3 linked regions of the Nothobranchius furzeri genome follow. The protein of the gene in region 2 purifies or fractionates together with the protein of the main gene of each other region. This does not show direct contact. Links are inferred from orthologs where the notes say so. Each region holds a gene or a part of one and is shown on either strand. Other genes may lie near its edges.

Region 1 (4,283 bases), on a different chromosome or scaffold from region 2:
TTTATGTGCAGGTTCCTTTGCTCTCATAATGTCTCTTTTCTGTCTCGAAGGGCTCCTTGCATCGGTCTGGATGAGCCTGAGGGTTCAGTCTTAAAGTCCCTAATGAGAACCAATCAGAAGATGTTTCTGCTTTTGAAGACATCCTGAACTTTGTTACCACAGCAGACGTCCCAGCCAATCAGAAGCCTCGCTGATAAACAGATAGACTCTGATTTGAACACCTCTTTGTCTCAGAGCACTGACGTCAAGCCAGAGCTGGAGTTTACTGATGTGTGTGAGATAAGGACGACATGAGGGCAGCCGCCATCCGACCCAAACGGGGGGCGGGGGCTCCAGAGACATTACACAACGGGCAGACTTACCTGTATGACAGGTGTGTGTGGGGGGGTGGGGGGTGGGGGGGTCTAAAAAAAGATCCTCTTTGATCTGCAGCCTGATTTAGCTCAGACTCAGAGGGAAGAGAATCCACACGCTTCACTTTCTTTTTCTCCTGCGAGTCTGATCGGAGCGTTTGTGGATCAGAGGGAATCTCTAAAAGGCATCGGGATTCAAAGGAATCTCCTTCAGAGGGAATTCTGACAGCTTTTTCGTTTGCTTTAACTCAGCGACCTTTCCTGTCAGCGGGTTCCTCTGCACACCCCTGCACTCCTTCATACCCCCCCCCCCTACACACGCACGCACGCACACACACACACTCACACACACACACACACACACACACACACACTCACACACACACACACACTCACACACACACGCACGCACACACACACACACACACACACTCCACAAACTAATCACAATCTGTTTACGACCCCTCCGGCGCTCTCCACAACTCTTCTGGCTCCTGCTGTGAATCTATTTATACCAGACAATGTCGAGGGCTGGCGGTTCTGACTGGAGGCCCGGTTCGTGGAGCCCGGGTCCCACGGTCCGACTGCCTAAGCCCCGCCCCTTAGGCCCTAATGGATGTGGCACAGATGAGGGCTCATTCTGAAAAGTCCTGCAGCCAACAGTCACTTCATCTGTTGTCCAGGTAGAATCAGGTTTTAGCTGCAGTGGGCGGGGGGGTGGTCGCCCTTCTAATGACATCACACAACGGCGTTACGCAAAGGATCCGTGCTGGGAGTGCGCACACACACACACACACACACACACACACACACACACACACACACACACACACACACACACACACACAGAGCTAAAGTTCAGGAGGCCTCTGCAGGTGTGATCCTCACCTGCAGGGCGTTTTAAAGACTCCCAGATGGCTTCACCCTCCTCTCCGTGCAGGAGAAGCGGTCCGGGTCACATGCCACCCAGCAGCTTCGTAGCCAAGACAACAGATTCTGAGAATATCAGATGAAGATGCTCTGGTGGATTTCAATATTTTATCAGCTGAGCCGGAGGCAGGAGCAGGAAGTGAAAACAAAAATAACCTAGGAGCAGAAACGGCAGCGTGCTGGAGCGTTGGCTGCTGTCTGGGAGTCAGAATTAGGAATTAGACTCACCCAACCATCCTGGGAGGCAAAAAACCAAAAGCTGGGAGCAGTTTAAGCTTCCTTATTACAGAATTATGGGATGCACTATCCCAACACCAATTTATCCTTCCTTATCTGTGCCCCTCTGGTTTTGCTCCACTCTCCTCATCCTCACTTTTCCTGTACAATTTCTACCGGACAACATGGATCTGCATTCAGGAATACTTGGGAATGGGAACTTATAGCACTGGGAGCTGCAAGAGATTGTTTTGGGAACATTAAACGGACTCAGGAACTGACTGAGAGGCACAATGGGTTTGTTTAGCTGTGTGTGTGTGTGTGTGTGTGTGTGTGTGTGTGTGTGTGTGTCTGTGTGTGTGTGTGTGTGTGTGTGTGTGTGTGCGTGCGTGCGTGCGCGCAAACATTCGGAGTTCCAGATTTTCATTCAGCAAAATGGCAGCACCGGAGCGGCTTAAATAAAACATTGGGGATGTAAACATGGTGTCTCCTGGTCAAGTAGACGGTGTGTCCCCGGCTCGCTCACATCCAAAAAGCAAAGTCACACAGGATGTGGTTGATAGTAACATCACGTACTCACACACACACACACACACACACACACACACACACACACACACACAGATTGACCAACCTGTTGGGATGTGGTTGAGCGCCGACGTCTTGAGGACCTCCAGCGGCGGCTCCTTTCCCAGGATTCCCTCTGTGGGAGAAAGAGAGCATTCTGCTTCAAAGATGGTCCGCAGCATTGAGCCGGGCTTCCAGCCACAAACCTGCTAATCAGGCGGTTAAAACCAGTCGGAGAGAGAAAGAGAGAAGGTGGGAGAGAAAGAGAGGGAGAGAGAGAGAGAGGGGCTTCAGGTCATCTGCACGGTGGAGAGCACATGCCGCTGTGCACCTCCGAGCCCCTGAGCTGCTTCCTGATCCATGAGCAGCAAACGCTGAGGCGCGTCTGCAGGGATGCTCGGACGGAGCTAAAGAATAAGCCGGGATTCAGAGGGAGCGCTCGTCAGCTGGTGTGTGTGAGTGAGAGTGAGTGTGTGTGTTCGCTTGTGAGCGAGTTGGAGAGATGTTGGCGCTCGACTGATAGCGCCTGTGCTCAGCATAGCAAATGTGGCTAGCAGCAGCGGCGGAGAGAGGGATGAGGAGGCGATGGAGAGGAGGGGAGGGGAGGGAGGTAAAAATAGCTCACCCTTTTGTGTATAACTGCACATGCAGAGCACGCACACACCAACACAAAGACGCTGCTCCAGCGAGTGTGTGTGTATGCATGCATGTCCATGTGTGTGTAGGCTGTAATTATAGTGGCAACATGAAAAGGCTTTTGTAGCTGCTGAGCCCTGGGAAGACATGGCTATAAAAAGCTGGGGGGGGGGGGGGGGGGGCACAAAAACAATCAACATGCATCCATCTCCTCCTCCTAAATCTGTTACTAATAACTCTCTCACTCTGCATCCTGTGAGCATTTATAGTTCTACAGCACCTGGTCCGTGTATTCACACACACACCTATTTATCTATTTACATTCTGAGCATAAAGTGTACAGACATCAGCACAAACACGGGTTTGAGATTTAAAAAATAACGAGAAATCCCTTCAGAGGGGAAAAAAAGAGAAAAACAGGCGAGAGTCTCACCATCCGTGGTCTATTTCTGGAATTCTCTGTGGACTAGACTGGTGCACACACACACACGCTCTCACACACACACACGCTCACACACATGCATACACAAACACACACACACACACACGCTCACACACGCGCGCACACACACACACACACACACACACACACACACACACACACACACACACACATGCTCGCACACCTGTATACACGCACCCACATGCATGCACGCACACACACATGCTAACACACACATACGCACACACACACGCACATGCAAACACACACACACGCTCACACGCTCACACACACACACACACACGCTCATACACACACATGCTCACACACATGCACACACGCTCACACACGCACACACATATGCTAACACACACACACATCCGCACACACACACACACACGCTAACACACACAAATACACACACACACACACACACACACACACACTTTTATTATCTAGGAAGCTAGAGGATATTGGTCTCACACCACCCTGCCTGGATGGCTGCAGCGGTCAGGTTTGGTCCTGATGAAACTCGTCTCTGTGCGTGCATCCGTCTCCTCACAGGCAGCAGGAAGCTGATGTATGATGCACTAAAACCTGGTAAAGTCGATACCAAACAGGTATGGTGTTATCTGTATACGCTATGATACAATACTTGAATAAAAGAAAGAAAAAGTACTTTTCATGTGGTACAAATTATTCACCCAAAGTAAAGTGGTAGTTTACTCATGTAAACTGTATCTGCAGCGGTGTCTATTACGAATGAACGCACCCGTTTCAGGAACTAGAAGAGAGCCACGTCAGAGCGGAGCTTCACAGGCAGGATTAGGATGATTACTTCCTGATATTTGGACATTTTTCCTCTAATTGGCTAACAGCAACGTTGATGTTTTATCTCCATAAATAACTCAAGCCTGGAGGAGTTCTGCTGTCTGGTGGAGTTGCTAAAGCTAACGGTTAGCTTCTAGTAGCCGAGACGTTCCCTGCTGTTTCCTGGACGCTAATCCAGGGGTCACCAACCTTTGTGAAGCTGAGAGATACTTGTGGGTACTAGGGTTGTCACGGTGTGAAAATTTCACCTCATTTATTGTGACCAAAATTATCACGGTTTTCGGTATTGTCGCGGTATTTTTTTAAAC
Region 2 (3,563 bases):
TTTCTTCTTTGTTTTTAAACAAAAAACAGCTCTGTGAGTTCAGATTCAACTCCTATGTAAACGCATGGTCTGTCCAAGTTTGTGTGTGTGTGTGTGTGTGTGTGTGTGTGTGTGTGGCGGCAGGACCAAAACCACGAGCTCTGCTGGCAGCCAGCCGCAAGTGCTGCTAGAAATAAAACAAGAAATAAGTGCTTTTATGAAACAAACAGACACAAAGCTCCTGTCGCTTTTTGGTCACCAGTTTGCTGCCAGCAGCTGAATCCAATCACCTCCTTTATTTGTGTTTTTTTGCACTTTTTCCTTAAAGAATCTCCCAAAGTCTTGGTGAATATGAACCCAGAGCATCCAAGACTTTTTAAATCAAAACAAAACTAGAGATAAATGTAACTCGGAATGTTCTTTTTTTGTCTTAAAGACGGAAAAAAAGTGAAACAACTGGAGAATCTTTCTTCACGCATACAAAAGCTAGAATAGACTTGGCATGTGTAAGCTGTAATCCTGAGCAAGCTTTCAGCCAGGCTGCGCATGAAGGGAAAAATAAAAATGCAGATTTTGCAAATCCGCGAGATGATCGGAGCAAAATTCCAGTCCTGAGGAGTTCATGTAACACAACCAGACCTTAGAAAGCCCCACCGGATGCTTTAAAGTGCACCACTGGACTTCTGACTTTGAAAAGGACTACAACTATATAAGTGCACGTTTGACAAGACGGAATAAAAAAATGAAGCAAAAAGTCCTTAAATGATGACGATTTCTCCCAAACTGAAGCCGTTTTTACCGATCGGTTACCGAGAGGCACACTGCAAGTGATCGCTGAATAAATACCGACGCCTTTCACGCACACGTTGGCCTCCGAACGAGTCAAACCGAAACCTCCATCATGCCGCAATACTCTTTGGAAATTATATTTCATAAGGATTAAAAATCTTTGGGTGCTACAACAGAAAACCAAATAAATCTTAAATTACCTATAAAAAAATTAACTTAGTCATTTAGACGCATCAAAAATATTCAGATTACACTCCTTCGACTCAAGTTTCAAATACAATACATAATTTATGGCTTCATAAGTTAAAAACGCTTCAATCTACATCAAAGTTTCACCCACAATGTACAAGATAAATTAACTGTCTCTAAGCAACAAGGATTGTCAAAACTGTCTCATCTGCTACTCAGTGCTTAACTTGCATGGTGATATTGTTGTCATACAAAAACATGCTCTGCATAAAACAATCAAACAAACAAAAAGCGGTAAGGAAGTAGAAACTCTGTACAAAAGAGGCAGAAAGCATCCCTCAGCTGGTGGATTAAAAACAGAGAAGCGTCTCAGCTGCAAGTAAACCGTTGCAGCGAGAACGACTCCCTTCGTAGCGCCGCGGTCAAAACACATTCCAGGAAGACAAGTCGGCACAAGTCTGCTCTTCTTTTTCATCTCTGCTGTATTTCTAAGCAGCAGATAGCCGGCAAGGCCTGAAAAAAAATCCGCTTTTTTTTTGGTTTTGTGCTTTCAGACGTCAGTCGACTTTTAATACGGCCTCCAGACCGCCTCGTCCATCCTGCCTCCGGGGTTCAGAACAGTTGGGGAGTTACTGTGGCTCCCATCCCCGTCCACCCCTCCTTCTGTCTGGGTGGGGAGGTTGGGGTTCACCAGGGAGGTGCCCGTGGAGGCGCTAGTGCAAGGTGGGATCATCCGAGAAGGCGAGCGATCCCCGCCAGGGACCATGCTGAACTGGTAGGAGTTGGATGACGCCCCGTAGTAGAGATAGGGCGTGCTGCTGGTCTGGAAGGGTCCACTCTGGCTCTGGGTGGAGCCCGGGTAGGGCGGGGGTAGGTAGTGGTAGTGGGCGCTGCCGAGCGACATGGCCGAAGTGACGGGTGGCGAATACGTGAAGGTGGGCGGGTAGTGCATGCGGGGGCTGGAGAAGCGGCTGTCAGCGATGGAGGAAAGGCTCGGGAACTGGCGCTCGAACTGACCCGGGAATGGGCTCAGGTCTGAGGAGCCTGCAACACACACACACACACACACACACACACACACACACACACACACACACACACACACACACACACACACACACACACACACACACACACACACACACACACACACGTTATGATGGCATCCTTTAAGTGTGTCAGGAATTAAAACTTAAATCAATGACTTAGGGAAGTTGTTTGAAACCAGATATGTGAATGAACCGGTGTGGATAAAATGATCCGTTAAATTCATCACTTTCTGCAGCGTTTCACTCTCCTGCATTTCCCATGCACACCGCTGCCCCTCCGTGTGTGTCGGTGCATGTTTATGTGCATCCATATAATTGTTTATGCATGCAAATGTGTGTGCAAATGGTGTGTGTGTGTGTGAATACTGTATGCACATAAAAAAGCAGTTGGGATGAATCAGGAGCTGCACATGTGGAAACACTTTGCGCAGAAACAGTTTCCATGAGATCCATAATGAGGCAGGGCTGAGCTCTGATGTGGCTCCTCTCCTCGCCTCCCATCGGCTCCGGCGTCTGCGTGTGTGTGTGTGAGTCCAGAGCTGAGAAGGAGCTGCTCCATCTCACCCTTCGTTCCTCTTTTCACTTCATCCCTTAAACAATACCCAAAAACCACTAACTGGCTGTGGCGAGCTTCGCCAGGAGTTGAAGGAGAATAGGAGGTCCTCGTCTTCCTCCTCCTCCAACATCCCCCTCCTTCCCTTCATCCTCTTGGTGGTTTAGTGCAGCCATGGAGCTCTTATCATAAATCACCAGGCGTCTTCCGTGTCACCATGTCTGCTCCGAGAGGAGGAGGAGGAGGGCGCAGTGTTTATGTGCAGGGAGGGATTGCGAAGTTGGGTTTGTCGCTAGCGTCAGATAGCATATGCTGCAAATTAAAGCCTTTAAACTTCCTATTTTCCATCCGTTTGATTCCGACAGGAATAGTGGGCGATTGTGGAAAAAGAAGTGTGACTTTAGTTGTTCGGCTCTTCGTTTCTCACTTTGAAGATGAAACGTTGTTAGCGGAAAGGAGACCACCGTGTTTGTTTGGAAACATCACTTCCGAGGGGAGGCGTCACGACTCCAGCCGATGAACATTCTGCAAAAGCTTCTCGGGAAATTGAACTTCTCAGCAGCTGGATTGTTTCAGGTTGCAAACGGAGCATCTACGGCGGCGTGCTCCTCACCGTGGCGAGGTGTCAGCGTGACCTCTGCAGATCCCAGAGCCTCAGGCGTGCTAAGCACAGGTGTCAATCTGGTGCAGAGGCTCGTGTCTGCGCGTGCACAATCGCCCGTCCACACGTGTCACCCGGAGAACAAACACGCATGAGATGAAAGCTGCATGGGGAAAAGGAGCGGGTGGGGGTGGGGGGCTACCGAGCTAATCAGAGCTGACAGGGCAGCTGGCTGGACTTTAAACCTCTTCTGATGCAGAGTCACACGGCTGCATCGCTTAATCACTCGCCCTCACTTACCACGCGCGCACGCACACACACACACACAGAGCAGAGTGTGTTAGCTCAAGGAAACAGAAAAAGTTAGACGGTTCTCCTAGCTGTGAGTCAAACAGGTGTAGGG
Region 3 (4,024 bases), on a different chromosome or scaffold from region 2:
ATGGCGACTTGTTTGCCAAGAGTCTTAATGAGATAAATTATAGTAGGATTGTTCCTCAGAGAGAAATGTGTTCGTTATTCTTATATTATGTTTAAAATACTATTTAAAACATAAACGTTCTAAAAACATGATACGCAAGCATAATATTCTACATGGGAAAATTACTATTTTAGCTGCCTTTTTATCCTGCTAATAGGTTAAATAGTTGGTTTTATTTTTAAGTCTAGTATTGTCTAGTTTTATTCAGCCATATTCATGATTTCAATCTTCATCAAAGGCAAAACAAAAAAGTAATTAACAATTACACGTTAAATTCGATTTAATACTTTGTAACCACATACAGGAAACATGATATAAATTACTGTGAAAGATAAATACGAACAGGATAATTGAAATTTAAGGTAAACAAAAAAGATAACACAATTGAATTCTTCAAACTATATTATATAATTTTAATTGTAATTGTAGAAGTTTATTTAAACAGTGACAGTGCACAACTTGACATTAACCACAAAAGAAAGATGCAATGTACCAGGTTATAGTGGGGATGCTAATTTCCACCTGTAGTGCCTGGGAAGGTTGATATTAAAATCACTAAACTAAAACAAAAGACGACTGTTTTTGTCCAGTTAGCTAAATTCCTGACACTAATCCAATAATACTTTATTCCTACTGTAAGTGAACATAGCACAGTTTAACAAGACTGAGTGCCTGAAAGTCTTTGTTTTCCTTCAATCGGACGGACTGGATTGGACGGCCGGGGGTTCCGCCCACAAACACACAAGGTGGAGTTGAAAAAATAACATGCTGGGCTAAAATGAAGCTGTCAAACAGCCAGTTACGTTTGAGTCAAAGAGGTTTGGTGCCGGGGGAACGGCACGGACACCGGAAATAAGAGTTAGGAGAATAATCAGACACTGATTGGTGTCAATTATAAACTTTAAAGATGTGTGCGTTCAATGAAAAAAAGTTCACTGGTGGCGTTTAAATTAGGTAACCAGTAAAGCGATTTTTCTTTCAAGTGTAGGCAGACGAAATGTTAGAGATGCAAACTTCAGTGGGAGACGTGAAAGTCGGGCTCGATGAGAAACAATAAACTCTGCTGGCTGAGCTCAGAAAATCAGCGGCGTTAACACTGGGGAACATGGGGATGTGTCGGTGTAGCGGAAATGGTTGGATGGAGAGAAGAGAGCTGCTGCACGTTGACTGGAGGGAGACAGCGAGAGAGATGGAGGCGGGGGGAAGGACCATCTCTGCGGGGACTGGAGCCCAGGACCGACGGCGCAGTGCTGGCTATCGTTCAACCCTCCCCTTCTTCATCCACAGCGACGCGGAGGCTCGCGCCGAGACAGGTAAGCAGCACGAAAGTCGGTCGGTTTCATAACCACACGTGGAAAGAGCGCGATAAACAAACCAGAAAAGCGGTTAAAAGTCGAAAAATAGACATTCTGTTTTTAATGTTGTCTACCAAAGCTCCTTAGGCGGCAGGATCTTTGTGGTAACGAAACAAACTCCCCGCTGGAAGGGCGCAGACGAGGTCGGCCTTACCCGAATTTCTCTGCCCAAACAGCGGGGAAGAAGCTGGATGTAAGACCCAGTGGTATGATGTCTACTATAAATTACACCCAGTGAATTCATGAAGCGAATTAGTTTCACGTAGCATCGGGATTTAGCTAAGCAATCGTTTGTTTCGCGTGGGGAAATGTTTTCCGGTAGTTTCCGCGCCGAGACCTCCACGCGGCTGTTGGCGGAACAGCTAGCCGCCTCTCGGTCAGCCATCAGGGATCTCGGTTTAATATCTCACCGTGAGGAGACTCGCCCTCCCCTCTCCCCCTCTCTCTCTCACTGACTAGCCCAGAACCACCGACAACCGAGCTCGGAGAACCCGCCTTTCCGTCCTCGCTTATGCGCTTTTTGGAGCTAGGGAAGGGAGTCTGCAACGCCCCGGCTAGAGCTTTCGGCTCCGTTTTCAGTGTTCGCAGTACGCCATTGGACCTTGTCACGGTAGGTTTGCTTACAAGAGCGGGGCTGGTAGCATGGCGGACCTGGAGCCGTTTTGTCGCGCCAGAGAAGCTGCTCAGCCGCGGATTGTTCTTTAGATATCCGATAATGAAAGAGCCGATTAAAGCCCACATTTTCCTCGAAACGGAGAATAACTAACACTAACATGAAGTAATTCAAAATTAGGTCAATAATGTTGTTTCACCGTACATATATTTTTTATTTTAATTATGTTTCGCGCCTCCGCAAATAATTTAACCTAACATTTATTAATTTTCGATCTGGTGTAACTTAATTTAGAATATTTTGGAGCATTTTGTATGGTTGTCAAATAATTCATGTTAATTATACGTTGTAAACACAAGTTAATGTGATCCCTAAATCGTCCTTGTGTGACACAAATTTTGATTAGTAGCAAATACTGTTGACTAACTGTGCTACCTTAGATGCTGGTATGATTTTAGGCTTCTTTTCGACATGCTAAGTTACACGGCGTCTTATGTTTTTTTTTCCACATTTATGTAGTATTTTTGACTAAACGTCATAAATCCGACGTTTGAATTTGACATTCTGCGCATTTTACATAAGAAATATGTCGAAAGTAGTGTTAGAAACGACGCGAGGAGACACGGTTGAGCTATCAAGGACAAGATGAACAACGGTCATCCGCCATCATTGGAGCACAGCTCGGCTACGCCTCGCTGAAGAATGCTCTGGCTTTTTGGTCCAAAAAACAACTGCGTGATACCACAAAGCGAACAAAATGTTGAGTGAATTATTCTAAAACGCACACATAAACCCCCTCACGCGTAGAATGCTAGTTTAGTCGTTCTTGTTTTGGGTAAACATTAGTGGAGAAGACTTTAGGGCTGCGTGGCGGAGCTAGATCCACGTCCAACGGTGATGAGGCGTCTCCGCCGAGTGGCGCATTTGGCTGCAGTGCTTCCAAGCTGCCATTCCAGGCTGTCGGAGACCGAAAGCAGATCCCCCGTCCGTGGTCAGCTGGTCGCCTACAGCTGCCTGTCTGTCCACGTTCATTCGCTTCCTCCTTCCGTGGATCCTCCCCAACCTCCGCTCCGACAGAAAGTCCTCCATTACCGAGCAGACCGAGCGAGAAAATGGTCGCTCCTGAGCGTCCACGATACTTCTGTTGTAGAATAAGGACAGCACTAATTCGCCAAATTCCGGTTGGCCCAAAAATAAAAAATAAAAAAAAATAAAAAAGAAGCTCGACAGGGACTCCTGTTGTCGTCGCTAGATATGCTTAGTTGAAGCCCTCCGCAGTGTTATTTGAGATTTGAAGCCGTCACAAGCAATAGCCTATGCCTCACCATGCAGCGTAAACGTTTAGGGGCGGTGTAATGAACATAAACCATTATGTCGGCACACATTTCAACTCAAACGACTTACAACAGAGATCAGTTATAATAAAGTTAGAAAATATGAATTTTAGTGATTTTGATTAATTTATTGTTTCTTTTGTAGTTCAAAAATCGCATTTTCACAAATGAATGGAGAAATGGAGGCAGCGACACATGACCAAGGTAGTATATTTATGAGTCATTTTTATTTATATATATTTTTTTAACAAATGACAAATACTTGTATAATCACGAAATTGTTTTAATGAATTCCACATTTTGTCATCATACTATAAACATAATGCAACCATACTAATAAATCCATGAACCAGTTTACATGTATTTTTTTATCAGTGTGGTCGCAGGATGACCTCCTAAAGCTGCTGGAGGCCATGAAAGTGGCTCTGCCACAGAAAGATCTGACTAAATACAAAACATCCGAGTCCCATCTGGACTGGCAGAAGGTGGCCTTCAACTCCTACACTGCAGAGATGTGTAAACAGAAATGGCAAGAGGTCTCTAAAGAGGTGAGATGCTCAGATCATGATTTTTAGGTCGTAAACCTTTTCAGATGTAATATTTAGATTAAGTTCTTAAAGAGGTCCTCCAATGAGAAACAAGTTTGTCTTATTTTTGGAAATGATCTGTTACATTACGTTTAA

The links. The genes of interacting proteins can lie anywhere in the genome.
Region 1: the proteins of runx2b (region 2) and histone deacetylase 4 purify together in Homo sapiens (affinity purification with western blotting; 3 studies listed by BioGRID). This does not show direct contact. The link is inferred for Nothobranchius furzeri from reciprocal best matches to the Homo sapiens genes RUNX2 and HDAC4.
Region 3: the proteins of runx2b (region 2) and ubtf purify together in Homo sapiens (co-immunoprecipitation; 3 studies listed by BioGRID and IntAct, with this or other methods). This does not show direct contact. The link is inferred for Nothobranchius furzeri from reciprocal best matches to the Homo sapiens genes RUNX2 and UBTF.

Annotation. Positions count from the first base shown.
Region 1 is NC_091754.1:47,244,963-47,249,245, forward strand, and holds the start of histone deacetylase 4, read right to left. Parts: upstream 2,811-4,283; 5' UTR 2,249-2,810; coding exon 2,134-2,248; intron 1-2,133. UniProt on the Homo sapiens protein: Responsible for the deacetylation of lysine residues on the N-terminal part of the core histones (H2A, H2B, H3 and H4).
Region 2 is NC_091742.1:21,529,955-21,533,517, forward strand, and holds part of runx2b (runt-related transcription factor 2b), read right to left. Parts: intron 2,002-3,563; coding exon 1,526-2,001; 3' UTR 1-1,525. UniProt on the Homo sapiens protein: Transcription factor involved in osteoblastic differentiation and skeletal morphogenesis. Essential for the maturation of osteoblasts and both intramembranous and endochondral ossification.
Region 3 is NC_091745.1:10,210,529-10,214,552, forward strand, and holds the start of ubtf (nucleolar transcription factor 1), read left to right. Parts: upstream 1-1,214; 5' UTR 1,215-1,352; intron 1,353-1,847; exon of another isoform or gene 1,848-2,004; intron 2,005-3,486; 5' UTR 3,487-3,508; coding exon 3,509-3,545; intron 3,546-3,716; coding exon 3,717-3,889; intron 3,890-4,024. UniProt on the Homo sapiens protein: Recognizes the ribosomal RNA gene promoter and activates transcription mediated by RNA polymerase I (Pol I) through cooperative interactions with the transcription factor SL1/TIF-IB complex.